4 linked regions of the Saccharomyces cerevisiae S288C genome follow. The gene in region 1 interacts genetically with each later gene. Each region holds a gene or a part of one and is shown on either strand. Other genes may lie near its edges.

What was found.
Region 2: mutations in SPF1 (region 1) and SMI1 are lethal when combined (synthetic lethality), as found in Saccharomyces cerevisiae (5 studies listed by BioGRID, with this or other methods).
Region 3: mutations in SPF1 (region 1) and LAS21 together harm fitness more than expected from each alone (negative genetic interaction), as found in Saccharomyces cerevisiae (5 studies listed by BioGRID, with this or other methods).
Region 4: mutations in SPF1 (region 1) and STE24 together harm fitness more than expected from each alone (negative genetic interaction), as found in Saccharomyces cerevisiae (5 studies listed by BioGRID).

What each region holds. Positions count from the first base shown.
Region 1 is NC_001137.3:85,016-94,442, forward strand, and holds SPF1 (ion-transporting P-type ATPase SPF1), read left to right. Parts: upstream 1-5,242; coding exon 5,243-8,890; downstream 8,891-9,427. Other genes in the region: UTR5 (Utr5p), read right to left, coding at 30-530; HYP2 (translation elongation factor eIF-5A), read left to right, coding at 661-1,134; MTC7 (Mtc7p), read left to right, coding at 1,164-1,583; MCM DNA helicase complex subunit MCM3, read left to right, coding at 1,922-4,837. UniProt on the Saccharomyces cerevisiae protein: Endoplasmic reticulum translocase required to remove mitochondrial transmembrane proteins mistargeted to the endoplasmic reticulum.
Region 2 is NC_001139.9:947,732-955,244, forward strand, and holds SMI1 (Smi1p), read right to left. Parts: upstream 3,169-7,513; coding exon 1,651-3,168; downstream 1-1,650. Other genes in the region: DIE2 (dolichyl-P-Glc:Glc(2)Man(9)GlcNAc(2)-PP-dolichol alpha-1,2- glucosyltransferase), read left to right, coding at 1-1,266; OTO1 (Oto1p), read right to left, coding at 1,321-1,494; BNS1 (Bns1p), read left to right, coding at 4,163-4,576; prohibitin subunit PHB2, read right to left, coding at 4,817-5,749; NAS6 (Nas6p), read left to right, coding at 6,229-6,915; PHO81 (Pho81p), read right to left, coding at 6,943-7,513. UniProt on the Saccharomyces cerevisiae protein: Protein involved in the regulation of cell wall assembly and 1,3-beta-glucan synthesis, possibly through the transcriptional regulation of cell wall glucan and chitin synthesis.
Region 3 is NC_001142.9:315,498-323,821, reverse strand, and holds LAS21 (mannose-ethanolamine phosphotransferase LAS21), read right to left. Parts: upstream 6,539-8,324; coding exon 4,046-6,538; downstream 1-4,045. Other genes in the region: BNA3 (kynurenine--oxoglutarate transaminase), read right to left, coding at 1-436; linker nucleoporin NUP82, read right to left, coding at 1,665-3,806; COA3 (Coa3p), read right to left, coding at 6,842-7,099; mitochondrial 54S ribosomal protein bL17m MRPL8, read left to right, coding at 7,347-8,063; DLS1 (Dls1p), read left to right, coding at 8,265-8,324. UniProt on the Saccharomyces cerevisiae protein: Ethanolamine phosphate transferase involved in glycosylphosphatidylinositol-anchor biosynthesis. Transfers ethanolamine phosphate to the GPI second mannose.
Region 4 is NC_001142.9:640,267-646,818, reverse strand, and holds STE24 (zinc metalloprotease), read right to left. Parts: upstream 4,813-6,552; coding exon 3,451-4,812; downstream 1-3,450. Other genes in the region: JHD2 (histone demethylase), read left to right, coding at 329-2,515; ILM1 (Ilm1p), read left to right, coding at 2,718-3,329; TDA4 (Tda4p), read right to left, coding at 5,155-5,994; YJR115W (uncharacterized protein), read right to left, coding at 6,368-6,552. UniProt on the Saccharomyces cerevisiae protein: Proteolytically removes the C-terminal three residues of farnesylated A-factor mating pheromone. Also acts to cleave the N-terminal extension of the pheromone. Does not act on Ras.

The sequences.
Region 1 (9,427 bases):
GCAATCGTAAAAGGAACTAGCTAACTTCATCATGAAAGTTTACCCTTTCTTGCCGCTACCCTTCTCGTTTGGCTGGTATTAGAGCACAGCGGATATATCCGGCTCAACAGTATAAGTAACGATAAGTCCTGACCATTGGCTTCGTTCTGGTGGCATTTTCTCTGAGGGGTGAGAACAGCAAAACGGGAACGGCGACTTGGAGTAGTATAACGCTGTAGCTGGACGCTGAGGGGCCAAGGCCGGTAAAATTCTGCAACACCCAGACCTTGCTGCAGTGATATCATCCACCCATACCCCTCGATGTATTCCGTAGCGTTATATCGGGTCCGTGTGAGGCGACAAGGGACCTCCCGCACCGCACATACCGCAGGAGCTAAAAGAAACGCCGTCGCCCGAAAAAAAGTTTCGAAGGTGAAGGAACAGTGGTAATAAAAATTTTTTTCGTCGTCGTCGTCGATCGGCTTTTGGCCGCGTTGATCGTCGTGTTCCACGATTATATAATGCACAAGGTTTTTGCCATATCTTGACATTGGAATCCCTCATTTCCTAAATTCCTCTCCTTCTATCAATTGCTTCCTTTCCTTCTTTCTAACGATTCTACTTCTGTAGCCAATTACTCATAGACTCCCAAACACACACAAATACCAACTCATATATACAATGTCTGACGAAGAACATACCTTTGAAACTGCTGACGCTGGTTCCTCCGCCACCTACCCAATGCAATGTTCTGCCTTGAGAAAGAACGGTTTCGTTGTCATCAAGAGTAGACCATGTAAGATTGTCGACATGTCCACTTCTAAGACTGGTAAGCACGGTCACGCTAAAGTCCATTTGGTTGCCATTGATATCTTCACTGGTAAGAAGTTGGAAGATTTGTCTCCATCTACTCACAACATGGAAGTTCCAGTTGTCAAGAGAAACGAATACCAATTGTTGGACATTGATGACGGTTTCTTGTCTTTGATGAACATGGACGGTGACACTAAGGATGATGTCAAGGCTCCAGAAGGTGAATTGGGTGACAGTTTGCAAACTGCTTTTGATGAAGGTAAGGACTTGATGGTTACCATCATCTCCGCTATGGGTGAAGAAGCCGCCATCTCCTTCAAGGAAGCTGCTAGAACCGATTAAACCGGTTAACATCATGGCATGGGATATAAATGAAAAAAGAAAAAAAAACTCCGACGCCCCTTCCATCACATCATGTACTCTTCGCTGAACCGGGTTTTTTTCTTTGCAATTTTTTTTTCGTTCTCCTAAAGCATACACAAATAAATCCTTTTTTTTATTTTCTATTTATTTTGTTATTTATCATCTATATAGCAATAATATACTTTGTTTTTATTCGTATTTCACACTTTTCTTTTTCCTTATGCAGGCAGTGTAATTCATTGGGGAGGATGATTTTCATGTGCGCATATCTACCGGCTGCAAGCAGCCGGTCGGTGGCAAATCCGGCGCTTCCCCCTCAAAAAAAAAAAAAAAAAAAAAAAAAGGGAACTCTCAGAACGGGGGAGGTTGAAGAGCAGGCCAAGGGAAATATTAGTTTTGACCTATGTGGGAAACAGAATTTTCAATGAGTTATGGCAACTTGGCCGAGTGGTTAAGGCGAAAGATTAGAAATCTTTTGGGCTTTGCCCGCGCAGGTTCGAGTCCTGCAGTTGTCGTTATTTTTCTCTTTTTTTTCAATTTCCCTTGTTCGTCAGATCGAGGCGGTAGAAGAAACAATTACTTTTCCTAAATGGGTAAAAACTCGTGTTTTAGGAAAAAAAAGAAAAATTTGGTCAAAACTCGAAAGATAGGTTCTTAATCTTCTTTCAAGTTGAAAAGGCCTACGCTCTTTTCCTTGAAGCATTTTCATCCTACTGCTCGTATTGAACTCCACTATAAGCGCACCAAAAAGATACAAACGTCAATTATGGAAGGCTCAACGGGATTTGATGGAGACGCTACTACTTTTTTCGCTCCAGACGCTGTGTTTGGTGACAGAGTGCGCAGATTTCAAGAGTTTTTAGATACTTTCACCTCATACAGAGACTCTGTAAGGTCCATACAAGTTTACAACAGCAATAACGCGGCCAACTACAACGATGATCAAGATGACGCAGACGAACGAGATTTGCTAGGTGATGACGACGGTGATGATCTTGAAAAGGAAAAGAAAGCAGCATCGTCCACCTCATTGAATATACTCCCTCACAGGATTATCATCTCGCTTGATGACTTGAGAGAATTCGACAGGTCGTTCTGGTCGGGCATTTTAGTCGAACCAGCATACTTCATCCCGCCTGCCGAAAAGGCGCTTACTGACCTAGCAGATTCCATGGACGATGTTCCACATCCCAATGCCTCTGCAGTATCGTCTCGCCATCCTTGGAAGCTTTCGTTCAAAGGCTCATTTGGTGCACACGCATTGTCTCCTCGTACTCTAACGGCACAACATTTAAACAAACTGGTCTCTGTTGAGGGTATCGTAACTAAGACTTCGTTGGTCAGGCCAAAGCTTATCAGATCTGTCCACTACGCGGCAAAGACTGGTAGATTCCATTACAGAGATTATACAGATGCTACTACAACTCTCACCACCCGCATCCCAACGCCTGCCATCTATCCAACGGAGGACACTGAAGGTAACAAACTAACCACCGAATATGGGTATAGTACGTTCATAGACCATCAGCGTATCACTGTGCAAGAAATGCCCGAAATGGCCCCCGCTGGCCAACTTCCCAGGTCCATTGACGTCATTCTCGATGACGACCTTGTGGACAAGACCAAGCCAGGTGACAGAGTTAACGTTGTCGGGGTATTCAAGTCGCTTGGTGCTGGTGGCATGAACCAGTCCAACTCTAATACATTGATCGGGTTCAAAACTCTGATCCTAGGTAATACGGTGTATCCTCTCCACGCCAGATCCACGGGTGTCGCTGCGAGACAAATGTTGACAGATTTCGATATAAGAAATATCAATAAACTATCCAAAAAAAAGGACATTTTCGATATCTTGTCTCAATCTTTAGCGCCTTCTATTTATGGACATGACCATATAAAGAAAGCCATTTTATTGATGCTCATGGGAGGTGTGGAGAAAAATTTAGAAAATGGCTCGCATTTAAGAGGTGACATCAATATCCTAATGGTGGGTGATCCATCCACTGCCAAGTCCCAATTGCTAAGGTTTGTGTTGAATACAGCATCACTGGCAATTGCTACTACTGGTAGAGGTTCTTCCGGTGTCGGTTTGACCGCAGCGGTCACTACTGATAGGGAAACAGGTGAAAGAAGACTAGAGGCTGGTGCCATGGTTCTTGCTGACCGCGGGGTTGTATGTATTGATGAATTTGATAAGATGACAGATGTGGATAGAGTCGCCATTCATGAAGTAATGGAACAACAAACGGTGACGATTGCCAAAGCAGGTATTCACACAACATTAAATGCTCGTTGTAGTGTTATTGCTGCCGCAAATCCCGTTTTTGGGCAGTACGATGTCAATAGAGATCCACACCAAAACATTGCCCTACCGGACTCGCTGTTGTCTCGTTTTGATTTACTATTTGTTGTGACAGACGATATCAATGAAATCAGAGATAGATCCATTAGTGAGCATGTCTTAAGAACACACAGATATTTGCCTCCAGGTTATTTAGAGGGTGAACCTGTGAGAGAGCGTTTGAATTTATCATTAGCCGTTGGGGAGGATGCAGATATAAATCCTGAAGAGCATTCCAACTCCGGGGCTGGTGTAGAAAATGAAGGAGAAGATGATGAAGACCATGTCTTCGAAAAGTTCAACCCCTTATTACAAGCAGGTGCTAAGTTAGCAAAAAACAAAGGTAACTATAACGGTACAGAAATTCCAAAGCTAGTCACCATCCCATTCTTAAGAAAGTACGTTCAATATGCCAAGGAAAGGGTTATTCCACAGTTAACACAAGAAGCCATCAATGTTATTGTGAAAAATTATACTGATTTAAGAAACGATGATAATACCAAAAAATCGCCCATTACTGCAAGAACTTTGGAGACTTTGATCAGATTAGCCACAGCTCACGCCAAAGTCAGGTTATCCAAAACAGTCAACAAGGTGGATGCTAAAGTGGCTGCCAATCTACTAAGGTTTGCACTATTGGGTGAGGATATCGGCAATGATATCGATGAAGAGGAAAGTGAATACGAAGAAGCTTTGTCGAAGAGGTCTCCACAGAAATCACCGAAAAAAAGACAAAGAGTCAGACAACCAGCAAGCAACTCTGGATCCCCAATCAAATCTACTCCAAGAAGGTCAACGGCATCTTCCGTTAATGCCACGCCATCGTCAGCACGCAGAATATTACGTTTTCAAGATGACGAACAGAACGCTGGTGAAGACGATAACGATATAATGTCACCGCTTCCTGCGGATGAGGAAGCTGAATTACAAAGAAGGCTTCAACTGGGGTTGAGAGTGTCTCCAAGACGTAGAGAACATCTTCACGCACCTGAGGAAGGTTCGTCGGGACCTCTTACCGAGGTCGGTACTCCAAGATTACCTAACGTATCTTCTGCAGGTCAGGATGATGAGCAACAACAGTCAGTTATTTCTTTTGACAATGTGGAGCCTGGTACCATTTCTACTGGTAGATTGTCTTTAATCTCAGGTATTATTGCGCGTCTGATGCAAACAGAAATATTTGAAGAAGAATCCTATCCTGTGGCCTCTTTGTTCGAAAGAATCAACGAAGAACTACCGGAGGAGGAAAAATTCTCCGCTCAAGAATATTTAGCAGGTTTGAAGATCATGTCGGACAGAAATAACTTAATGGTTGCTGACGATAAAGTTTGGAGAGTCTGATGTCACAGGAATGTTTACTAAAAGACTTCCATTCTTGGCTTTTTTTCTTTTTGTCATTCATAATTTTCAGTTCATTTCCAGATTATTTAGTTCATTAATTGTTATTCGTGTATTAAAGAATTATGTATTAAAACGCTTATTTCCTTCTTTTGTTTGAATGTGTTGTAAGCAGTTATGGGGCACTATATCTTCTGTTAATGAATATGTGTGATACTTTGGCTTATCTTACTTGCTCATTCGTGGCTTCTTGTCACGCCATACGTTACGCGTTTCTCTTCCTCTTCGCGTGTTCTGAATAAAGCCAAGTGGCAATGTCTCTTCCACCATATAACATGAAGCTTTAGCAAGCTTTTAGCTCTAGACATAGTTGACATATCAGACCTACAGAAACATAGGAATCGGTAAATGACAAAGAAATCATTTGTGAGCAGTCCTATTGTTAGGGACTCGACATTGCTGGTACCAAAGTCATTAATAGCAAAGCCGTACGTATTACCGTTTTTCCCGTTATACGCTACCTTTGCCCAACTATATTTCCAGCAATATGATCGTTACATCAAAGGACCTGAGTGGACTTTTGTCTACTTGGGGACATTGGTATCCTTGAACATCCTAGTCATGTTAATGCCTGCTTGGAATGTCAAGATCAAGGCGAAATTCAACTACAGTACTACTAAAAATGTCAATGAAGCTACTCACATTCTCATCTACACCACTCCAAATAATGGTTCTGATGGTATCGTTGAAATTCAGAGAGTAACTGAAGCGGGCTCTTTGCAGACTTTTTTCCAATTTCAAAAGAAAAGATTCTTGTGGCATGAAAATGAGCAGGTATTTTCTTCACCAAAGTTCCTTGTTGATGAATCCCCAAAGATCGGTGATTTCCAAAAATGTAAGGGCCATTCCGGTGACCTAACTCATTTGAAGAGACTATATGGTGAGAATAGTTTTGATATTCCTATTCCAACATTTATGGAATTATTCAAAGAGCACGCTGTTGCGCCATTGTTTGTTTTCCAAGTTTTCTGTGTTGCCTTATGGCTATTGGATGAGTTCTGGTATTATTCTTTGTTTAACTTATTCATGATTATCTCCATGGAGGCAGCTGCAGTATTTCAAAGATTAACTGCCTTGAAGGAATTTAGAACTATGGGTATCAAACCTTATACCATTAACGTGTTTAGAAACAAAAAATGGGTAGCATTGCAAACCAATGAATTGTTACCTATGGATTTAGTGTCTATAACAAGAACCGCCGAGGAGAGCGCAATTCCTTGCGATTTGATCTTGCTCGATGGCTCCGCTATTGTTAATGAAGCAATGCTTTCAGGTGAATCTACTCCCTTGTTAAAGGAATCCATTAAATTACGTCCTAGTGAAGATAATTTACAACTGGACGGTGTTGACAAGATTGCTGTGTTACATGGTGGTACAAAGGCATTACAAGTAACACCTCCTGAACATAAATCGGATATCCCTCCTCCACCTGATGGAGGTGCCTTAGCCATCGTCACCAAAACTGGCTTTGAAACATCTCAGGGTTCTTTAGTTCGAGTTATGATTTACTCCGCTGAACGTGTTTCCGTCGATAATAAGGAAGCGTTGATGTTCATTCTTTTCTTGTTGATTTTCGCTGTTATTGCATCCTGGTACGTTTGGGTTGAGGGTACAAAAATGGGTAGAATTCAATCCAAATTGATCTTGGACTGTATATTAATTATTACATCTGTTGTTCCTCCTGAGTTACCAATGGAATTGACCATGGCTGTCAACAGTTCTCTGGCCGCCCTTGCCAAGTTCTATGTCTATTGTACTGAACCATTTAGAATTCCATTTGCTGGTAGAATTGATGTTTGTTGTTTCGATAAAACTGGTACTTTGACCGGCGAAGATCTTGTGTTTGAAGGTCTAGCTGGTATCTCTGCGGACTCCGAAAACATTCGTCACTTGTACAGCGCTGCCGAAGCACCAGAAAGTACAATTCTTGTCATTGGTGCTGCTCACGCTTTAGTTAAATTGGAAGATGGTGATATTGTTGGTGACCCAATGGAAAAGGCGACCTTAAAGGCTGTTGGTTGGGCTGTCGAAAGAAAAAACAGTAACTATAGAGAGGGCACCGGAAAATTGGATATTATCCGTAGATTTCAATTTTCTTCTGCTTTAAAAAGGTCTGCTTCTATTGCTTCTCACAACGATGCCTTGTTTGCTGCTGTCAAAGGTGCACCTGAAACGATTCGTGAAAGGCTTTCTGACATTCCCAAGAATTATGACGAAATCTATAAATCCTTTACACGCTCTGGTTCAAGAGTTTTGGCTTTGGCTTCTAAGTCGTTGCCAAAAATGTCTCAGTCTAAAATTGATGATCTAAACCGTGATGATGTTGAATCTGAATTAACCTTTAATGGGTTTTTGATTTTCCATTGTCCTCTGAAGGATGACGCTATTGAAACCATTAAAATGTTAAATGAATCCTCCCATCGTTCTATTATGATTACTGGTGATAATCCATTAACTGCTGTTCATGTGGCTAAAGAAGTTGGCATAGTTTTTGGCGAAACTTTAATCTTAGACAGAGCAGGTAAATCTGACGACAATCAGTTGCTGTTCCGTGATGTTGAAGAGACAGTTTCCATCCCATTTGATCCATCAAAAGACACTTTTGATCATTCTAAATTATTTGATAGATATGATATTGCTGTTACTGGATATGCTTTGAATGCCTTGGAAGGGCATTCTCAATTAAGGGATCTATTACGTCACACCTGGGTTTACGCACGTGTTTCACCATCCCAAAAGGAGTTCTTGCTGAATACACTAAAGGATATGGGATATCAAACTTTAATGTGCGGTGATGGTACTAATGATGTTGGTGCTTTGAAACAAGCTCATGTTGGTATTGCATTGTTGAATGGTACCGAAGAAGGTTTGAAAAAATTGGGTGAACAACGCAGATTGGAAGGTATGAAAATGATGTATATAAAGCAAACTGAATTTATGGCTAGATGGAATCAACCACAGCCACCTGTTCCTGAACCGATTGCACACTTATTCCCACCTGGTCCAAAAAATCCTCATTATCTGAAAGCTTTAGAAAGCAAAGGTACCGTCATTACGCCAGAAATCAGAAAAGCAGTTGAAGAAGCAAATTCCAAACCTGTTGAAGTCATCAAACCAAATGGACTATCGGAAAAAAAACCTGCTGACTTAGCTTCTTTGTTGTTGAACTCTGCTGGTGATGCCCAAGGTGATGAAGCACCAGCTCTAAAGTTAGGAGATGCATCTTGCGCTGCCCCTTTTACCTCGAAACTGGCCAATGTTTCTGCTGTTACTAACATTATACGTCAAGGCCGTTGTGCTTTAGTTAACACAATTCAAATGTACAAAATCTTGGCCTTGAATTGTTTAATCAGTGCCTACTCTTTGTCCATCATTTACATGGCTGGTGTCAAATTTGGTGATGGTCAAGCCACTGTCTCCGGTTTGTTACTATCGGTTTGTTTCTTGAGTATTTCCCGTGGTAAACCTTTAGAAAAACTATCCAAGCAAAGGCCACAGTCCGGAATTTTCAATGTTTACATTATGGGATCTATTTTGTCTCAATTTGCCGTTCATATTGCCACTTTAGTTTACATCACTACAGAGATTTATAAATTGGAACCCAGAGAGCCACAAGTTGATCTTGAAAAGGAATTTGCTCCATCATTATTGAATACGGGTATTTTCATCATTCAGTTGGTACAACAAGTCTCTACATTTGCTGTCAATTATCAAGGTGAGCCATTCAGAGAAAACATTAGGAGTAACAAAGGTATGTATTATGGTTTATTGGGTGTGACAGGTTTGGCACTTGCAAGTGCTACTGAATTTTTACCTGAGCTAAACGAAGCCATGAAGTTTGTGCCAATGACTGATGACTTTAAGATTAAGTTGACCCTAACATTATTGCTCGATTTCTTTGGTAGTTGGGGTGTCGAGCATTTTTTCAAGTTTTTCTTCATGGACGACAAACCATCAGACATTTCTGTGCAACAGGTCAAGATTGCCTCTAAATGATAAATCTTTTATGTAGTACCCCTTTTTGTATTTATATACTTATATTACCCATTCATATAGATCTTTTTTAATGGGTGTATTGTTAAGTTTATGAAAGTGCTGTATTATTTGTAAAACAGCTTCTAAGTATACGAAAATTATAATAGCTTCAAGTTTATATTTTGTTGCTAGCGTTACGGTTATGTTTTTACGATACATATCGCCTAAGCAGGTCTCTGCGCCTAAAAAAAGTAAACATATAAATTGGGAAAGCAATATAATTAAACATACTGCTATAGTAAATTCATTACTAGGCCAATTTAACCGTGCCTTATTATGATATGAAATACCAGTCAACAAGTCCCGCTTAAATGCACTCTAGTAAAGCTACAGGTGGTTAACAAAAATTAAGAAAACAGAACAACCACGAGATTCTTTGAACACGGTCTGTCAAAGATCTTGACTTGGACTAGTTACACAATTTATTTTCCAACTGAGTGGTTTAGCACAGGAATAGTTTAATCGGGTCTTAAATTTTTACTTTGATTTTTGCAGGGG
Region 2 (7,513 bases), on another chromosome or scaffold:
GGTTTAATTAATTATTATTGTATAAAGCCCATATTCAAGTCGTGGAGCACACTAACCATACTAAGATTAGTTAATTTACTTGGAGGGATTATCGTTTTCCCCATTTTAGTACTCAGGCCAATATTCCTTTTTAATGCCTTAGGTTTTTGGCCCGTTTCATTAATGAGCTTCCCATTGATGACAACTTATTATTACTTATTTTACACCGATGTGTGGTCTACAATTCTGATATTGCAATCACTCAGCTGCGTGTTAACATTACCGTTTGGCCCCGTGAAGAGTATATGGTTGAGTGCTTTTTTTGCTGGTGTAAGCTGTCTCTTCAGACAAACGAATATCATTTGGACGGGATTTATAATGATTCTTGCTGTTGAACGCCCAGCCATTTTACAAAAACAGTTCAACACGCATACGTTCAATAACTATTTGAAATTATTCATTCATGCTATTGACGATTTCTCCAACCTTGTTCTGCCCTATATGATAAATTTTGTTTTGTTCTTCATTTATCTGATTTGGAACAGATCCATAACACTAGGTGATAAGTCCAGCCACTCAGCAGGCCTGCATATAGTACAAATATTCTATTGTTTCACATTCATCACCGTTTTCAGTTTACCTATATGGATATCTCGTAATTTTATGAAGTTGTACAAATTAAGAATAAAACGGAAGCCAGTACAAACTTTTTTTGAATTTATTGGTATTATGCTAATCATAAGATACTTTACAAAAGTTCACCCATTTTTGTTAGCAGATAATAGACACTACACGTTCTACCTCTTCAGAAGATTGATAGGCAACAAAAGTAGACTAATCAAGTACTTTTTTATGACACCAATCTATCATTTCTCCACTTTCGCATACCTTGAAGTGATGAGACCCAACCAGCTCACCTTTCACCCCATCACTCCACTCCCCATCAAAGAACCTGTACATTTACCCATACAACTGACACATGTATCGTGGACGGCCTTAATAACGTGCACCATGGTAACTATCGTTCCATCACCCTTATTCGAACCTCGTTACTATATATTGCCCTATTTCTTTTGGAGAATATTTATTACCTGCAGCTGCGAACCTTTGATAAAGGATTTAAAACCTGCTAAAGAAGGCGAAAACCCAATTACCATAAGCAGTACGAAAAGACTGTTCATGGAATTTTTATGGTTCATGCTCTTCAATGTCGTTACTTTAGTTATCTTTTCCAAGGTCTCATTTCCTTGGACCACTGAGCCCTATTTGCAAAGAATAATATGGTGAACAGAATTGATTATAGTTGCAAAAAGACGTTCTATAAATGTTTACTAGTAGTATTTATTTTCTTTTTTTATTTCCATCTTTTAGTGGCCAACCGTTTTGTATATATTGATTTTTCTTCGTAGTGGCCTCAAACCGTTTGAGCCACTTAATGGCAAATGATAGCGAACTTTCTCCTGCTTTTAGGAATACTCTTATAGACATAATGCATTGATTTCCACGAACGTTCATGGTTGGTAAACGTAAGGGAATTGTGCTATATATATATATATATATATATGATAATATTGTATAAATTTCTTAAGGTTGAAACCTACCTAGAACAGTTTAATAGAAATAAATATTGTCCAAATTTCTTTTTGGTTGTAGAATGTTAATTGTGATATTTCATAAAGCTATATTTTCAAATTCTTCTCTCGCTTCTTCCACTTTAGCATCATCACTTCTTATTTCATTTTCTTCCTTTTTGTTCATTTCTTCTGTTTGCTTATTTACATCATCGTCTTTTTTTGCTGATTCTGTGACATGTTCGTTTTCAACGTGTTCTTTTTCTTCAACCTTTGGTTGCTTTTCGTCTTCTTTCCTCTCGCTTTCTTGTTTAATGTCTACATTATCAGCTTTGATTTCATGCTCTGCTTGTCCAAGGCTTTCTGTATTTACAGTTGTAGTCTCCGCTTCGCTAGGTTCTGTTTTCACAATTTTGACAGATTCGTGATCTTGAACAGATTGTACATCTGCACTACCACTATCTTCGCCCTTTATGGATTCTGCGTTGAGGGTAGAAGGCTGTTCAGCTGCCACTTTCTTTTGCGAGGCAGGCACGTATTTCTGCTCCTGCAAGGATGTGTCAGGTTGAGATTTTTGCTGTTGTGATCTCAAGTTTTCTTGATACTTGATCCACGTTCTTCTTTTTAAAACTTCGAAATAATCTTGTATAGGACCATTAGATTTCTTATCCCTGAAGACCAATTCACCATCACCGCTAAAGTAGTCGTCATTGTCATCTACTAAATACCAATTACCAGCTTCCAAATCGTTGGCAAACGATAACAGAAATTCACCCCAATTTTCAGCAATGACAAATTTCGTATCGAAGTCCCTCCCAAATGTTATAATTTGAGCATATTTACCATTTGGACCAGGCGCCAAGTCAACACCGATATGGTTACCGGCATTGTCCGTTATTAAAGGAATCCAAGCAGGATGTGCATATACCGGTTGCACTGCATTTGGAGGAATAGATTTTTGATCTGGGATATTTGGCAGTTTGAACTTGTTACCATTTAGTCTTTCCATAGATGAAGAAGAGCCAGTAGATGTAACATGGGATAAACCTTGTTGAGATCTTTTGTTTAGGTTCTTTGCGACGTTTCTCCAGGCCTGAGTCATAGCTACAACCTGATCTAGTGTCATTAGTTGGAAGCCATAAAACAAGCCAGAAGTACCGGTCATCGATTCTAAATCTTCTTGGCCATCATGAATTTTGAAAGACGCTTTTACTGGGTTGGGAAAGCTAACTTCCAAGTCTTCCTCTGCGTGAGTGATATCGTTTTGGGTGCAAGGATCACTCAAAGTTGCATTTAAATCTGGATTATGTTCACTGGTCCAAAAATCGATGTGTCTCCAAGCTAAGAGGGTTTCAGAGACACCATCGTTTGACTCCGTGGACGTAAATTCATCAATATTTATGTCTTCATTAGATGGCACGCCATTTTGAAATCCCATGCTCATTTCCTCATCTACACTATTCAAATGCATTTGAGAGGGATTTACCTGACCATTGTTGCTGTTTAAACGTTTACCCATGTTAAAAGTAGGCGTTTCATCGGGGTTATACTCTGCATAATGGTCGTCAGTGCTGAGGGAGTATACCCATTCTTTAACTTTTCTTTTGAATAGATCCATTTTATACTAAAAAATTCTGCCAAGTTGTCGCCTATAGAACGAATGTGCGTTTATTTTGTATTTTCTTTGCGTATTGATAGTATAGCTAGTCCTTGTATATTTTCAATTTTTCGATAACTTTAGTCGAACACGAAAAAAAATAATTAGCGGATTTAATTTTGTACCTTTATTTTCAACAGGCTTGATTCTTGAATGGCGTATTTGCAAATATTTCAATATTGAGAGAAGCTAAAATTTCTAAGAATGGACTTGCGTTTGAAGATTGCGTAGCAGCGCAAAGAATTGATTAAAATGTAATTTACTCTGGAAAGAAAACACAACCTTTTCAGTTGCGGTGCAAAAACATTCTTTTGATCTCGAAGTAGGAAAACTGACATTAGAAAAAGAAAAAAAAAACAATCTGCGAATTATGCATTTCTTTTTTTCGCTTTTTTATTTTCTTTTTTCTTTTTTTCGACCTCCAATAGGGCTTTGGAAGCCCTATATGTAATCTAGGGTAATGACATATGTCACGTGCTTTAGGGCTTGGTGCCTTTATTTTTATGATTATGTGACAAGGATCTAAGGGGGTTTTCCAGATACGGGAAAAAATAAATAGTAGACTATCCTAAAAAGGAATGTAATTAACTTATGATGTACAAACGGTGGTGCAATGCATGTTAAGCCCTGCAGGTAAATGGATCAGTGCGGAGTACGCATCTTTTGCGATGTTCCCATGTAGATTGGAGCCTCTCTGCTTCGTTCTAACTCTCCTCCGTTGTCATAAAGGCCTGCGATTAGTAAGGTGGAAGGTATCTGAAGTTAATGCTAGGATTTCAAATGTATACCTTTTTATTCTCTTGAACAAATAACGAAATCCTCTACAAAAGGTTTCTATTGAAAGTTCCCAATAAGCAGCAAATTCTTCTTCCTCTACTTATCTGTGATTTTTTTTTAAAAAAAGTTAATCAGAGGCTACTACATCATTGCGCTAAAAAAAAGTAACAGATTTGCGATGTCATACGGCGGATCGGCATCCCAAGATATAGTGACAAAATTGATTAGAAAAATCCAAAATACGTCTGTGTCTTGCACCAGGAGGGATGAAAATCTAGATTCTTTTAATCAACACTTGAAAATGAGTCTTAAAGTTGCGCATAACACGAAGACATTTGCAAAGCATTGCCTTCATCGACAAGTATTCAAGAATACGTATCGGAAAAGAAAAGCAGTGGAAGATCAAAGGAAAAACTTGAACACGCAACTTAGGCAAAAATTTGCGTCGCCGTCAGACAATTTGCTTTCACCATGCTCTAGAAAACTGAATGATCACAAGTCAAAACTTTTCTCAGCCAAATCGCAACCCAAAACACTGGAGTTTGTGCGGGGCAAACAGAATATACCACGCAAGCCGAATGTAGACATTTAATTTAACGGATGATGATCATAAATTGGCCTATTTTTTTGCTGTATGTGTTACATATTATACTATATACGTTCTCCAACAATACAAGATGATACGGGGTAATACTCCTTATTCTTATTCTAGAAGACATACAAATATTTATGTTTTACGCATCGCTTTCTTTCCCTTTATTTTGTATTCACAAGTATATGGCATCTTAACATTGTTACTCAATTCTTAAAGATAATATCTAGCCTTCGCTATTTATTTGCCCCTTCCATCGATTCTTGCATCCACTACGGTATTTAGCAACAATGCTTCATTATCCAAGATGACTCTATTTGGAGAGCTAGCCAAGATCTTTGCAATGTCCCTGGCTGTATCTAATCTTTTCAATTCCACGTAGTCTCTTGATTTCTTGATGGCTTCACCAATCAGTTCGGCGGATTTGGCTTCACCTTGTGCCCTCACTACCATACCTTGTTTTTCTTGTCTGGCTTTATCAACTACAAATGCAGCCCTTTGAGCATCTTGTTGGGCAATTTGCTTTGCTTCTACAGCGTTCGTAAACTCTGGCGAAAAAGTCATGTACGTAATAGAAACATCATCCAGTAGGATATTGAATTTGCTTGCACGACGAACCAAATTCTCGCGAATCAACCTGGAAACTTTTTCTCTTTGAGTGATTAATTGTGACGCATTAAATTGGGCCACTACAGCCTTTAAAACTTCATTAACAATGGAAGGCAACACTCTTTCATCGTAATCCTGACCTAAGGTTCTGTATATGGTGGGCAATTGCACCACATCCGGTCTTGAAAGTACTCTACAGGTGATATTCACCATTTGTAAGTCTTTGGTACCTGTTAAAGAAGCAACATTACGAGGTTTTGCTCTCACATCATAAATAATTGGTGTGTCAAGCCAAGGGAAAATGAAGTGAGTACCTTCATTAAATATCCTAGAGGAAACACCATGTATTCTGGAATAAACAATGGCTCTATGACCACCATCTACATTGAACAGTGCATTATTAATGAACAGTGCACCACCTCCGAGTAAAAGCAAACCTCCCAAGCCTGCAAATGCCCCCCTTGGTGAAGGCACTTGACCTCTGCCTCCGGTTTGCTGTACCTTGGACAATTGTTTTTGGAACGCCTTTGCGTACCTTTGGAACTCACCAGGTGATCTATTCATCAGCACTAAATTATATTCTTTTCTAGCAGCCGCTTGCTTTTATTTCGTGAGCTACTAAAATACAACCTCCCCTGTAAAACTCTTCTGATGTCCTTTATGGTTTATGAATTGCCCTTTTTTGCTATTATTTCCCTTAGATGCCAAAATGAGCGATACAAGAAAAGTTTGCCACTCTATGTCGTTGATAGTGATTATGCAACACAATTACATGCAAGCTATTAAAATATCGACTAAACGGATACGGCCACATCGCAGTATTACTCATAGCAATAGAGGAAGTAGAAAGTATTTAAATGGGGCCACTCAAATTGCACACTGCTTTATGTAATCTGATTTCATTTCTATACAAAGAATATCTCTCTTACCCGGCTGTCAAGTATGATCGAAGGGCCCTTCATAAAAGGGTTCTTTAAAGAACGATCAGCTGAAGCTGTGATAATAAATGCTACATAAATGCATGCCCTTAAAACTGTATAACCATGTCTAATTATCCTTTGCATCAAGCCTGCATGGAAAATGAGTTTTTCAAGGTACAAGAGCTGCTACACTCCAAACCTTCCTTGTTGCTACAGAAGGACCAGGATGGCAGAATCCCTTTACACTGGTCAGTTTCTTTCCAAGCACATGAAATTACCAGTTTTTTGCTTTCTAAAATGGAAAATGTTAACTTAGATGATTATCCAGATGATTCTGGATGGACACCTTTCCATATTGCTTGTTCAGTGGGGAATTTGGAGGTGGTAAAGTCTCTTTACGACAGACCTCTAAAGCCTGATCTAAATAAGATAACCAATCAAGGAGTTACATGCTTGCACTTGGCAGTTGGTAAGAAATGGTTTGAAGTATCCCAATTTTTAATTGAAAATGGTGCGTCCGTAAGAATTAAAGATAAATTTAATCAAATTCCATTGCATAGAGCTGCGTCGGTGGGTTCTTTGAAATTAATTGAACTATTATGCGGTTTGGGCAAAAGCGCTGTAAATTGGCAGGATAAGCAGGGTTGGACCCCACTATTTCATGCTTTGGCTGAAGGGCACGGTGACGCAGCTGTATTGTTGGTGGAAAAGTATGGTGCAGAATATGATCTTGTAGATAATAAAGGCGCTAAGGCAGAAGATGTTGCCCTTAATGAACAGGTTAAAAAGTTTTTCCTAAATAATGTATAAGATTTCAAAACTACATATTACAGAACTTTACATATCAATATTATTCTCAAAAAGCAACTCACAAGCGTAGTAGATCCCGCTGTAACCTCCATCAGCTGGTATTTGGTCATTTTCCCCGACCGATGCAATCAACAGTAGTCCGTTTTGTTTGATGATCCTAGCCAACGACGGGCATATCTTCAGTACTTCATATGGAAGCGTTACACCTAACAAATTATTGTTCATAGCAAATTGAACCATTGTATGTATGTTTATTAGTTCCGTGTTTAAATACGACATTTTTTGAGGATTTACGGCCAGTTCCTTTAAACAATTAGGAGTATCACCTACAAATTTGCCTGTGGTTGAATCTCTGAGTAGATTTTTCATTTGCAACAAAACCGGAAAATTGGGTTGTTTCCAGTTAAGGATCGAGCAAGCTTCCCAATTGCATGAACTGAAAACTATTTGGCGCATACTCCCACTTCCGCTGTGACGCAAAAAACGTTCATGCTCGAAAATGATTAGTAAAAGCTTATCAATGAATTGATTGATATTTATAAATGGCGATATTTTGATGGGAATTGTGTCAATTTCCTTATCTGTAGGAAAATATACA
Region 3 (8,324 bases), on another chromosome or scaffold:
CAAAAACAATAACCTCGTCGCCAGCGTTCAAAAGCCCCATCAAGCAAGAAAGTATACCTTCATTGGCACCTGTTGTTACGGTAACATTTTCCGCTTTCAATTCTGTGTTATAAATAGGAGAATACAACTTAATCAAGGAATTAATTAATGAAGGTCGACCTCTAGTTGGAGAATATTGATTGACCATTGGAATGTCTAGGGCTTTCTGAGCCTCCTTAATGGCGAATTGAGGAGGGGAATATGAAAAAAAGCCTTGGCCTAAATTAATAAGTTCACGGCCTTGGTTTTTGGAGTTATTGGCAGCTTTTGCAGCGGCTTCATTGGTTAGCGACCAAACATCTTTGGCAGTGTTAGAAGTGAAATATTTGTTGGCAACAACTTTCGGTCTCGAAGTAGACATTAGGTTCGTAAATTGACGAATGAATCGTTGTTTCATTGAGAGCAAGTAACAATGGATTCTATACGCAATTATAGTAAATTGAACACTTTATATATATCTCTATCGTACCTTCCCCTTTTAAACATGACTGAATTTTGGTATCTTGATTGTCATAATGACAACAAAAAAGCCACAGTTCTACGTCACGTGCTAGACACGACATGCTACTGAAGAAATTGTTATCAAATGAAAAGATACATTTATGTAATAACCACTACCAGGCACTTGCTAAAAAGAATCTACGTAAGAACTACATAAAGGTTAGCTTGTGCGCCAGAAAGTGATATCAAAGTTTTATGAACGCTGAACAATTTTGAGCCAGTAATTATCTTGGCATAGGAGACGATAAATGCCATCGTTCTTTTAAAGAGCTTATTAAGTTATTAACTCTCTTCGATTAGACATTCTCTTATCAAACGAGTTACGTTACATTTAGGAATAATGCGACAAAGATGGAGGTCTTGATTCCTAAATCCTACTCAAAACAATCTGCTCTACTGTCAAAATCCTTGCTCCGTAAATTGATTTCGTTGTCAGACGCTCACCGTACAAGAAGTTTGTGGGTATTTACATCGTAAGAAAAGTGCAACCAGATTCAATATTGAATTACCTGAGCGGTGTCTTCCTATATTAAAATGACGATTTTGTTTTTCTTTGTATTGTGAGGGTAGCAGATTCGTCTTCTGCACTTTTCATCTACTATTGCAAAGCCTAATACAAATACAGTTGTTGAATATAAAAATTCGAAATCAGCCTTCCATTCTCGAAAGTGAACAAGGAAACTCACTGGATAAAAATTCACACGAAAAGAAAAAACCGAAAAAAAGTAACTGTGTTGCTTGCAGAGGGTTTGATTACTCATAACCGAGAGACACGATCTGTAGCGGTGATATGAACGTATTCCTCACCTTCTTCTAACCCTTTGGAATAATAGTTTCCATCACTCTTTACAAAAGTAGCATTACTCACCAAATAAGGTCATAAAAAAGACTTTTATTTTGTATACATGTAAATTTTGGCAGCGGTTAGTGAGGTAAAAGAGATACGAATGAATATACGATACAATGATACAGCATACTGAAAAATCATCCTAACGATTTGGTGCACAGAAGGCTTTATATATTGACCAATTCATATATAATGTCCTCTTGCTACATGATATTATACCATTGCCCAGTTGTTTCTTAGCGTACATATATGATAGCAGACTATGCAAGTCGCTTACTCATTGAGTTTTAGTAGTAAATTCCTGAGAAACTTGTAACAATTCTTCATTGCATTCTTTAATTATCTTTGAATCTATTTCAAGCATTTTGCGTAGCTCATCCCATTCGTTTTGGCTCTTTTTATCGACTTTGATAGTTTCTGCCTCGATACGAGTTAGTTCACTCTTCAAGTACGATAAATCTTGTTGAAGGGATTTTTGAGAGTGAACAAAGCTGTTGAATTGCAATATTTGGTTTCGTATCTCTTTGAACCATTTCATCTCACCATGGCTTATTTTCTTTTCTTTAAATTTATTGGATTCGGCGATTTGAGATAGCTTCTTGCTCAATTTACTAAATCTCTCCATTAATTCTGACTGTCTGCTTAGTTGTGCATCCCATTTCTTATTTTGTGCTTCGAATTTTCTCCTTAAATCATCATCCTTTGAAATTATTTTGCATGTCGATTGTAGTTGGCGCGTCAATTCGAACTGTTGCTCATGAATTCTATTGTGGATAGAAACACCCAAAGTTTGAGCTTTAACAATTCTTTGCAAAAATTCTTTGGAAATATCCGTGAAAATTTCCAACTGATTTTCACTAGCTTCGTTTTTTAAAGGTATCTGGCGGTCTGCTGATGGGATAATTCGTTCACATGGACTAATACAGGCTTTTTGAAAATTATCGTTCAAAATAAGAATCTCATTTATGGGCTGTGTGAAACTCATTTTAAAACCATCTCCTACCGTGTCACTTTTTTCTGTACTGATACTTGTTTCAGCTGCGGTGCTTTGCGGTTTCATATCGCTTGAAATATTTTGAAAAGTCAATGTTTTATTCGACATCAAGGCTAAATTAGATTGGTCATTCCAGTTGATATACGCTAGGTTTGGAATTCTTTCTATGGTGGCAATATCCTCAAGTTTACTTTCAAATTTCAATCCTGCAAGTGGATTCAAATCCGATTCGTTGATACATTTACTCAATGTAGAAGCCCAGCTCATAAAATTTACTTGTTGTATAATATTATCGGAAATGACATAAAGTTTTCCCAACTGTTCAGGTAACGTTATTAGAGACTTAATTTCTCTTTGTAGTTTGACTCGTTCAATTAGAACCAAAGAATTATTATACACGTAATTGTCAACATCCCACGACATTGACATTTCCAAATCTTTGAAGAGTAAGATTAAAGACCCATCATCAAAACTGACACAAACAATTTCATTTTGCCCATTATCAATTAGTATGGTTGCAATATTTGTAGCAGTATAGTCATACAGCTCGCCGGGAAAGGGGTTTATCGTGAATGGTCCTTGAACCTTGGCTAAACGATATTCCTTTTGTATGTCGACTTTGCCAAATCTTGAATTCCAATTTTCATGCAGTTTTGACACAAACTGTAACTGCTTAATAACATTCCTTTTAACTATAACATCTGTTGTAGAATCCAGGGACTCGTACATTACTAAAGATTTGTTTAGGATCAAGTTGAGATCTTTCTCATTTAACAGTAATACTGACGGTAAAAATGGATAAAATGCAAAGATATCACCGCCTTCTGTGGTGTTTAGACAATATAACGTCAATCCGTCCTTACTGAATTCTAAATCTGTGATGTCGTTAACACGTGCATCTAAACCAAAGGAGTTGTTCGGTTTGTTCAAAACGATAGGCTTTTCTTGCGAATTAAGGATGTCAAACATCGTGATAGTGTCATCCTCTTTCAAAACCACTATACAAGAATCACGATAACTCTTTGGATGAAACAAAACTTTCTTAATGGACGATTTCGGACCAACTTCTTCTTCATCAATTGAATAGTGGAAAATTTGGAATGCATCTTGAATGGAAACGTCTTCAACGTTGGAATAGCCCCAAGGAACTTCCATTACAAAAATCTCGTTGTCATTGAAAAGACAGAGTAGGTCACCAGACGTACTAGATATTACATGGAAGGTATCATCCAAGACGAGATGACGACTAAAGTTCAAACTGTGGTAAAGTGAATCAGTGAGTACATTGTACCACCTTATTATGTTATCTTGAATGAAAACAATCCTTGTGCCATTCTGAGAACTAAAAATGTAACGTGGAGATTGGCTTGCCGAAAGCGATGCTTGGAAAATAGGAAGTGCACTTAACCTACTAGATTGGGACATACTTTGGAGTATAGAATTAAGCCACCACTCAATTATCGCTGTCCTTTTGTTGCTTAAATATTAAATGCAATTAGAATATTTGAAAGTATTCAACTTTTTTATTGAAGTTAATTTTTCATTTTTGCTGCCGCGAAAAGAGAGAAGGTCGATAGTAGATTTTTTTTTTTTCACTTGTCTCAGTATGAATCTATAAACTATCATATATGTATACATATTTAGACCACGTGAACAATTCTATGTTAATCAAGAGCGCAAAGGAGGGCCAATTCAGGTAACCAGCCATTCAGCAATCCCATCACAAAATTCCACCCAAGAAAATAACATAATTTTGGACTGAAAACGGACCAAATAAAGAGATGAAATCTCAAAACGACGCATGCCGTCATCAAACAAGTTCCAAATATACAATGATAGGTGAAGGCAGGTAACTTACTTCTGATGAACGTTTGCAACTTAACTTGTGCTGGAATAGAGGCGTAGTTTATTGACCACGGTAGCATGGACCAGTATATTGCCGGCGCGAAATTGGCAACGGACATTAATATCCCCACTACGTAGATGTTGTAGTCTGAGGAAACACCATGGTATGCGTTTCCAAGGTCTATAGTAGAAATGGAATTTGTGCCACCGAATTGGAAAAATGTAAAATTTTGTAAAATTAAGGACACCAAATTCGAAAAATAAATCTTACTTGTTGATGTTAATGAGGCGGTTGGAATATTTTGGAAAAAGTAAAAAATTTGGGACTCTAATATTTGGAAAACGAGAAATTGACCTATGTTCTGAGAAGAAGTTTGGAACATCAAAAGAATTGTTATATAAACTTTCATATCTTTAATGAGGTAGTTCTTGTTAAGTACTTTCAATTTCGTCAGGACCAACCTTGAAATGACAACAATAGCCCAAGCTTGGAAGAAAACGCGCGCAAGTACAATCAAGTTACTTTCAGTTGGTGCAAAGTCTATCTTAGCCAGTAAATCATGCATAAAGAGCGGTATTTCTGCCTGGTTACCATTGACGATTTCCCACGAGATTTTGTACGTGAAACACAACCCCACCAAAATAGTAGTGACAATAAAATGTAGTACTTGAAAACCAGCAGATGCCATTATCAGCACTAGAAATGTCAACATATTTAAGCACCACTTCCAGGAAGGATTCTGATTAAGTAGATTGGACATAACGTTAGAATAAATGAATTTCTGGCCACTGTTATTCCAAAACTTGATTGAGCGTACGCATGCCATCATTATAAACCAGCGCACGATTATGAGCACATTCAATCGGTATACGAACAGAGGGACCGCCGAGAATGCAGTTACTATCCACCACCACAGTTGGTGCTCCTCTTCAATGAAACTACTTGCAAATGTGGAAACGCCTAGTATAATGGAAACTAACAGAACAGACAGGGAAGAAACGCGCAACTGCCAAAAATCAGGCCCAGAATAACGTAATAATACATAAATGGCGATGATTGTTATTATGAGGAAACCAACAAAAGCCAGTGTCAAAAGAGGATAATTATAATTTGTTGCAGACTTGGTTAACGTTTCTTGAATAGTGTACATCTTTGTATAAATATCTTCGGCAGTGAAATCGTCAAGAGCAACCTCGCCGTGATGGTCTGATAATTTCCACAAATGCATAAAATTTTCTTTCATACTTGCCAACTTATTGGGCAACAGTTGTAAAAAGTCAGGTATTATTATCCCAACACTGTTCATGGGGATTGGCATACCAAACAGTGCTGCTATGGTGGGGACGATATCAATTTGTTGAACAGTCTCTAAATACTGGAAATTCCAGTCCGGACTAGCGTTGATGGGCAATGTGTAGTTTACTTGCGATTCTGGCCTAGCAAATTGCGCCAGCTTAGGTGACAAAAACAACAATCCTGCTGATGTTTCGCCGGCTGAAGAGCCACCATGGTTGCCCAGTTCGTTCATTCCATGGTCGCCAAGAACACAAATCAGTGTATCATCGTCATCTTCATGTTCCAACACTTCATCATATATTGACTTCAGAATGCTGTCCATTTCTTGATGTTTAGCAGCCATAAACTTTGAATGCGGGCCATCTTTATGCCCGATATGGTCAAGACCCAAGTAATGCAGGATAGCCACGTCCCACTGGGCCCATTCCTGAAATAATTTCCCGGGCAAGTTCCTCGTCACATTATTATCGACTTGAGTGAAATCACTGACAAAGAACGAGTGTGTCGGGTCAGCGAAGTCAAACCATTGCTGTGGGAACAGTTTCAGCCAGGTGTCATCGCCCATGAAACGAATCGTGTTATTATGTTGGATGAACTGCTGCAGCCAGGAATCGTGCTCCGAAAGATCGTTGGAATCTATGTCCTGGGCTACATTCAGCAGCAAGTCAATGAAGCTAGGTGTAGATCCCGTAGTAATACTTTTGAGTCTAGGCAGCGTCACGGTAGGCGGATTAGCAAATGACGTGTAACCCCATGCTTCGCCCGTATTGAGCCATTGGTGCACGTTGTTGAAGTGGGAAATCTGCGAATCAAAAAGAAAGTCTGATCTGAGAGCATCAATGATCACAAACACCAATTTCTGGAAGGGCCTATCGCGCTGGAGATCACGGTCTTGATCCGGATCTTGCTTTGATATACCTGTCAGCACGATTTTTCTAGGGAAAAAAGCAAAGATAAAGAGCAGAATAGCGAGTAATTGAGCGCATGATAGGCACGTGAACTGCTTCAAGTTCATCTTGCTAACTTGGTGAAGTGTGCGTGGTAGATGAACTTATTTCGATATTGTTTATACTTTAACATTTTCCTTTTTTTTCCCAAACTGAGTTTTTCATCATATTCTTAAACTAAAGAGCTGGCTGTTAGAGTAGGACAAAGAGTATAAACAAACAGAATGTATGTATATATCCGTATAAGCATATCTATATATATATATATATACATATACGCAAGTAGGTAAACTATTTACAAAAGAGGAGAGAAGAACAGCGCAAAGCCTATTGATGGAAGACCACAGCGTACCTCCACATTAACGGTCTTTTCATGCCTTCTTCTTGGCTTCGTACTCCTTTTTGAGAGCCTCGAGCTCCTGCGGATCGATGGGTGGAATGGGCACGTCTGCAAAGTCGTTGTCCTTGTGCAGAAAATGATATGTGTAGTAGTAAACAGAGCCCGTGACACCCAGCAGCAGCGTGAGACCGAGCATATTGCCTTTGAAAAAGGGTTTACGGGCCCTGATCATGGCAGGCGTCATCTTCCACGTGCGGGTGTCTTGGTACTTGGACGGATTCAAAACCATACTACTTTGTCGTCTATATATGTGCTTTCGTTGCTGCTCACGTAGTATTGTTGCTTATGCCACCATAGTAAAGACTCCCTTTATACAATGAGCAAAAATCACTGCTTTGTCTGTCACCGCGTACGAGGCGGGAAAAGTTGGTTAACAAGAACAAGTGGGATTTGACAAGCTAAAACAGCTTATAACGGTCAAGAGATTTGGCTACGCCAAGGAGAAAAAACGGTGAGAAGCACAGTCGAGCGCAACAATGACAGTGGGTATTGCTAGGAAACTCTCTAGGGACAAGGCGCATAGGGATGCGCTGCTAAAAAACCTTGCGTGCCAGTTGTTTCAGCATGAATCTATAGTGTCAACGCATGCCAAATGTAAAGAGGCTTCCAGGGTCGCAGAGCGGATCATTACCTGGACAAAGAGGGCAATAACGACAAGTAATAGTGTTGCACAGGCGGAATTAAAGTCCCAAATTCAGAGCCAATTGTTTTTAGCAGGAGACAACAGAAAGTTGATGAAGCGGTTGTTCAGCGAGATCGCACCGCGGTACTTGGAAAGGCCCGGTGGGTACACGCGTGTGCTGCGGTTAGAGCCTAGGGCTAACGACTCAGCGCCGCAATCCGTCTTGGAACTAGTCGACTCTCCCGTGATGTCCGAATCGCATACGGTGAACAGGGGCAATTTAAAGATGTGGCTGTTAGTCAAGTCAGTCATCAACGATGACGCCAACCAGCTACCTCATAACCCACTCACATTGCAGAATCTTCACAAAGTGGCCAAGTTTAAAGCAGAAGCGCAGCTACATGGTGAAATTATGCTCATCAAGCAGGTCTTACTCAAGGAAATGTCCCTTCCCTATGATGAGGCACTCGAAAACGAAAGGACGCAGGCACTTTTGAAGGAGGTCTACTCTTCGTCATTGCCAAAGAAGACGAAGAAACCCTCCTCCTATGTCATGGTTCCCAGACCTTAAAAAAACCAGGATTTTGTGTATTCCCTTGTAAATATATAGATGACAATTGAAAGAACAGCGCTAACAATGTGCGTATTCTAATATAGTGTTTTTTTTTTTTTCCAACTAGAGAAAAAAATGAAAAATGTAAGAGAAACAAAACAGAAGAAACAAGAGAGAATAGCGTCAGGATAGCTCGCTCGATGTGATCAGGCTAACACAATGAACAACGAGACTAGTGGTAAAGAAACGGCGTCTGCACCTCTGTGTTCGCCCAAGTTA
Region 4 (6,552 bases), on another chromosome or scaffold:
CCCTAGGTGTAACCAGAAGAGATTAGGAGGGCTTAGGGCCAGTATTTTATCTGATGTAGGGCAAACGAGTAAAATGTGTAGGGTATGGGCTAATATCAAGGGCTTCGGACTTACTGCCCCGCTCACAGAAACAGCCGCACTAATTAATTTCTTTTGTGTAACGTTAAAGTAACCCTGGAATCATCATTGAAAAATTATCATCCCAAGAGACAGAGATGTGCATGTTGACAACGCAGGCTCAATGTAGAATAAGATCTGACTACTTAGTCAATTTTACCTCTAGATCATATTAACTAATCTCATCTTGCACAAAAAACGTATCACTATCATGGAGGAAATTCCTGCCCTGTATCCAACGGAACAAGAATTCAAAAATCCGATCGATTATCTCTCTAACCCCCACATTAAAAGGCTTGGTGTACGATATGGTATGGTCAAGGTCGTACCACCAAACGGGTTCTGCCCGCCACTTTCTATTGATATGGAAAATTTTACTTTTCAACCAAGAATTCAAAATCTGGAGAACCTAGACCTGAAAAATAGGTGTAGGCTATTTTTTATGAAACAGTTAAATAATTTTAAAAGATCCGTTAAGGATCCATCGAAACTTATACTTAGGGAACCTTATACGATTGTAGAATATTCAGATTCTACTCATGCATCGGAAATACTAAAAAAAAAAGTGTACTTTTATGACGTTTTCTCTGAACTAATAAAAGACAATCGGACACTTACTGACACTACACAGTCATTCAGGCGAAAATTGAAATTTAGAGATATTTCCCAATTAAGAGGCGACATCAGTCTATGGAGGACCATTTCTAAAAAATTCAACGTACCAATCGGCTTGTTAAAGGAAATTTTTGAGAAATATATTGCCTCATACTACATATTTCTTCATTCACTGAACGAGAACGTGCACACGGCGCTGCATGCTGACCAGTATCCAAAATCCTTATTAAGTGATGACGAGGACGATTTCGATCTTGGGCCAGATTCGAATTCTGGGTCGGATTTTGAGGAGGACGATGATGATGCTTGTATTGTTTGTCGCAAGACAAATGATCCAAAAAGAACAATTTTATGTGATTCATGTGACAAACCATTCCATATATATTGTTTATCACCACCTTTGGAACGTGTTCCCTCTGGCGATTGGATTTGTAACACTTGTATCGTCGGAAACGGATATTACGGATTCACTCAGGACACGCATGACTATTCTCTACCAGAGTTTCAAGAATATTGTAAACGTCAAAATTCAAGGTTATTACCAGCACGAAAACTGTCTATAGATGAGTTGGAAGAGATGTTTTGGAGCTTAGTGACCAAGAATCGTCGCAGTTCATTAACGACAGTTAAATACGGTGCTGACATACATAACGAATTGCCAGGTCAAATTACCGGCTTTCCGACGAGAGAATTTATACCCAAAAATATAAATGGGGACGAATTGATAGACTACCTCAAATATTGCGATCATCCTATGAATTTAACTAACTTGCCTATGGCTCATAATTCGCTATTACCGTTATTTAAAAGAAATATTTCTGGCATGACTATTCCTTGGATTTACATAGGCTCCTTATTTTCCACATTTTGTTGGCATATGGAAGATCAGTATACCCTAAGTGCTAACTATCAACATGAAGGTGACCCTAAGGTCTGGTACAGCATTCCCGAATCGGGATGTACGAAATTCAACGATCTATTAAATGATATGTCACCAGACTTATTTATCAAACAACCAGACCTACTGCATCAGCTAGTGACTTTAATATCTCCGTACGATCCAAATTTCAAGAAATCAGGTATTCCTGTGTACAAAGCTGTGCAAAAGCCCAACGAATATATTATCACGTTTCCTAAATGTTACCATGCTGGTTTTAATACAGGTTATAATTTTAATGAAGCTGTCAATTTTACTATAGATTTCTGGCTACCATATGGATTTGGTGCGATTACGGATTATAAATTAACTCAGAAAGCATGTGTTTTTGATATGTTTGATTTAATGATCAATGTTTTGGACAAGTACAATAAAGATACTCTATTGTTCAATGATGCTTTTGTTAGGCAATGTTACTCTTCATTGATCGTCTTTTATAATACTGAATTAAAACGCATACGGAAAATTCAGGCCATTGTACCACGGACAACTCTTTTGGAGGTGCATACTGATCCAAACGATGAAGATGAGGAATACGATATATTTTGTTCCCAATGTAAGACTATATGTTCAATAGCCTTTGTATTGCGAAAGAATAACTATGATTCAATTAGAACGTATAAAAGACACAAGAAAAACCATTTAAGTATTAGGCAGTGGAATGAACTATCCACGACGGACAGTAAAGTGAGTATCCTGTGTACGCAGGATTACTTAAAATCAATACAAAACTTGAACAATAGCGACGGTGAAGAACCTTATATTGACGATGAATTGTATTTCACTAAGTCTTTGAAGGATATTGACTCTTTAATAAAGCAAGTTGGTGTTAAGTTAGATAGATAGTCTTCAATATTTGTGTATGGCGTAATGATTTTTTAGAATAATACTTGGCATTTAGCACGCCACTTTTAGCGCGAAAACACCAAAAAAGTAAAGAAAATAATGTCGATCAATCTTTAAAGAGAGACAATTGAATGGTAGTGTAACAATTTACAACATAATAGAGTATCGCATTCAGCAAAAGTAAAGAATAAATTCTAAGAAAATGGCTCAAGCCTTGAACTCCACCAATATTGCTTTTTTCAGAGTAGCATTTTTATTCACGATCGCCTTCTTTTGTTTAAAGAACGTTAATTCTATTTTGCAAAATACATATTTCATAGTCTTAACGCAAGCGATGAATTTACCGCAGTTAACACTGTCACGTTATAGTGGTCAATTGGGTCTTTTCGCTCTTCTGTTTACTCTTAACGGTGTTCATGATCTAATTCCCCTGTTAGAAAACAATGTTAAATACTTCCAATCTGTTGTGCCAGTTAGATTACTAATTTTTTTTATTTTGACAAGTATCTCGTACCTTTGGGAGTCAAACTTTTACGTTCACAATAACTCTGTTTTTATTTACTGTTTTGCAGAAGTTTGGATAAATTTTCTTTTGTATAATGCCATTAGGGAGGAGAAAAATGAAGAGTTCAAAAGATTGAACCAATTCATGGTTAATGATGAGGATATTGAAGAACCCCAACCATTTACCGTGAAGACTGAAACCACAGAAATCATTGAAATAATCAATGATGAAGAAAATGACGATGAAGATGGGAAAGATAATGATGATAACAATGAGAAAGGTAATGATGATAGCGATGCAAAAAAATAAAATGTTTAATCGTTTATTTTTTCTTTCCTTTATTCTTATAGTAGATACCTGTGTATGTATGTAGATATAGACATAACGAAGCTGAATTTAACGGTACATGCTAATATGTGTACTCTATAGATTAGTTTTTCTTCTTTTCACTAACATAGTCTAGAGCGGTCAATCTTTCAGCTAGAGTTGGATGGGAATAATGATAGCTAGAATACAGAGGATCTACATTCATGGTGGAAAGGTTTTTGATTTGTAGATCAATTAGAGCCCTACATAGATTTTGCTTGTAGCCCAATTTTTTAGCATAAGCATCAGCTTGATATTCATGAGTTCTGGAAATTAAACTCATCACGAATTGCATGGCACATTCGAGTGGAGTTAATAAGTCGTTAAATAACATAAATCCAATGATAATGGGGAATTCCTTAGTGATAACGGGATCAACAAAACTGCCAGTGGACTTCTCTAAGAAAAAGCCGAAGGTGTTGTAAAATGATGTATTTCTGTAGATGCTGGTGAAAAGGGAGAAAATGAGGAAGGTGTGCAATTGACTAAAGATGACCATATTAACGATGTGGTTTTTTTGCCAGTGACCGATTTCATGGGCCAAAACAGCCGTAATTTCATCAGTAGAATTACTGTTCACTAAAGTGTCGAACAAAACAATTCTCTTGGAGGTGAATGGCAAACCTGTGAAATATGCGTTTGAATGAGAAGATCTTTTTGAGCCGTCAATGACAAAAATCTTATCTAGAGGGAACCCAACTCTATCGGCCAAACTTTCAATAGATTTTTTCAGTTCACCGTCCTCCAATGGAGTGAACTTATTAAACATGGGCATGATGAAGACTGGAATGATTGTCATGGCTAAGATTTGGACAACGAACAAGAAGACCATAATGTACCAAAGGAAATCAGTAGGGAATTTATCAAAGATCTTAAGGAACAGGTAAAGGATTGGGCCACCAATAGCATACGCCAAAGTCAGACTCTTGATCATATCGGTGATCCATAGTTGGACGGTCAATTTATTGAAACCAAATTTTTCTTCCAGGACAAAATGGCTATAGTAAGAGAGTGGCAAATCAACCAAGGTAGACAAACTGGATAAGAGACCCAAGAAGCATAAACTCTGTGCGACAGTGGAGACCATATGAAATCTGACTGGCAGGACTGCATTCAATAAAGAAACGGCCATGTGCCAGATTTTAGGGAAGAGGTCGTATTTGATGAAAACTAGCTTTTGGGCTAGGTTATAGACGTCACCGAAAATGGAGAACTTGGCCTTGGCCCGGGAGTAGTTCCTTGATTTATGAAAAGTTTCATCATCAATTTCGTCTTCCAGCACAGGTGGCAACTTTGTTTCAGATAGCTTCTGGTACTGTCTGTACGTCAAGTAAGATTCGAAAGAAAATTGGGCAATCGAGAACCCAGAAATGATTAATTTCCACGGGATATTAGGATGGTCGAGAATCGTCTTAAGATCAAACATGAATAAAGGCCTGCAGTTTTCTATTTCCTCCTTTTTTTTCCTTCCTTTTCCTGTTAATTATAGAAGTGGTTTATAATTCGCGAACTTTTTCTCTTGTTCGTTGTCTTTTTTTTTTTATTTCCCGTCGATTTTTTTCTGGAGAAAATGGCAGAACAGAGACGAAGGAATTAGAGTTTTTGAGTAAATGACGTAGAAAAAGAGGGAAAAGTTTAATTGCCTCTTTTTGGTTAATAGGAATGAATATACAAGTTTACATATATGTATATTTGTATGTATGTATGTAGATGTATGTGTGTGTGTGTGTAAGGCGTTTCGTTGTTGAAGATAGAAAAAAAGGTAGGTTTAGTCTAGCTTCGACGTTGGGGCTGGTTTTGCAAGTTTCTTGGCGATTCTAATCATCTTCTTGAACCAAAGCACGTTCAAAAGGTTCATGAAAATGTTCAGCGACATCATCGTGACAGCAGAAAACTTGGGTAACTCGTCTCTTACCTTCCACATCTGCCTGAATAAGAGAGCGGATGCGATGGAGCCCCAGCAAATCCTGACGACGAAAAACACAGTCATGAGCAAAAGGCCATTGACGACATTAAACCACAGAGGGATAGAGTTCTTGCTCTTGGCGTTACATTGCATGATGAACCAATTGATGTTCACAAAGGGAGTGGAGGCCTCGTAGATAAGGAACCTGCCGATCCAGGGTTGGCAGAACGGTCTTAAGGACAACAGCATCACATATACGGAGCCAATGGCGTGGCCCGTGAACTCGAGACCATAAAGCTTGAAGTAACGCACGCACATAGTCAAGTCCCAGATAAAGTACCCTGCGCTGAGGGAAGATACCATTGAACTGTACGAATCTGTGTAGGTGACAACATTATAATGCATTGGCGTCGTGAGGGTGGGCAACAGGACGGTGTTCGAGACGACAGCCTGGATCATCGAGACGGTGTGGACATTGAAATCAATTTTCAGCAGTGGGTCACGGATCGTGGTGTAGTGCTTGCGAAAGACCACTTTATTCAAGAACGGTGCGACAACGGAGAATGCGAGCTGGTAGAAGACGAAGCTGAAGATGATCTCATGCAAATGAGCCAGTATTAAATTAGACGAATGAGGGAAGAAGGACAGCTTTTCGAAGGGGCTGGTGAGGCCGATTGCTGTCGTGGTAGAGTTGGCGTTCATTGCGGCAAGAGCGATAGCTTAAAAATATTGTTTTTTTTTTCTCTTTTATTAAACTATGTTTTATACTGTTATGTTGCGTTGAGTTATGTCAAAATATTATGTTGCCTTGTATGTTTTTGGACCCGACAAAAACACAGGCTGAAAAGAAACACGTATGTATGTATATGTATATAAACATATGTGTGCATATATAAGTGCACGTATAGAAATAATATGCGATAAAAGTCTATTGTTCCTGGCTCATAAAACCTAGGAACTGAACGAGTTTTTTTCTTTGGTGATTCTGGCGTGATTCAACATTCGTATGCGATGACGGGCAGATCCGCGTCGTAAAAATGTTCTTAAGAAAGGAAAAGGGGAAAATGCATGCTAATCACATAATGCTAATGGGCCGGATGTTATTAGTGAGAGGAGAAGAGTCGCTGGATGCTGGGGAAGCGGAATGAGCTTCTGCAGTAGAAGAACCATCGGCAGCGTCACACAGTACTACCTCGCTGTCGATTTCGTCTATTTCGTCGAGGATCCTGTCCAGCATATTGGCGTGGCCCACCATTTTTC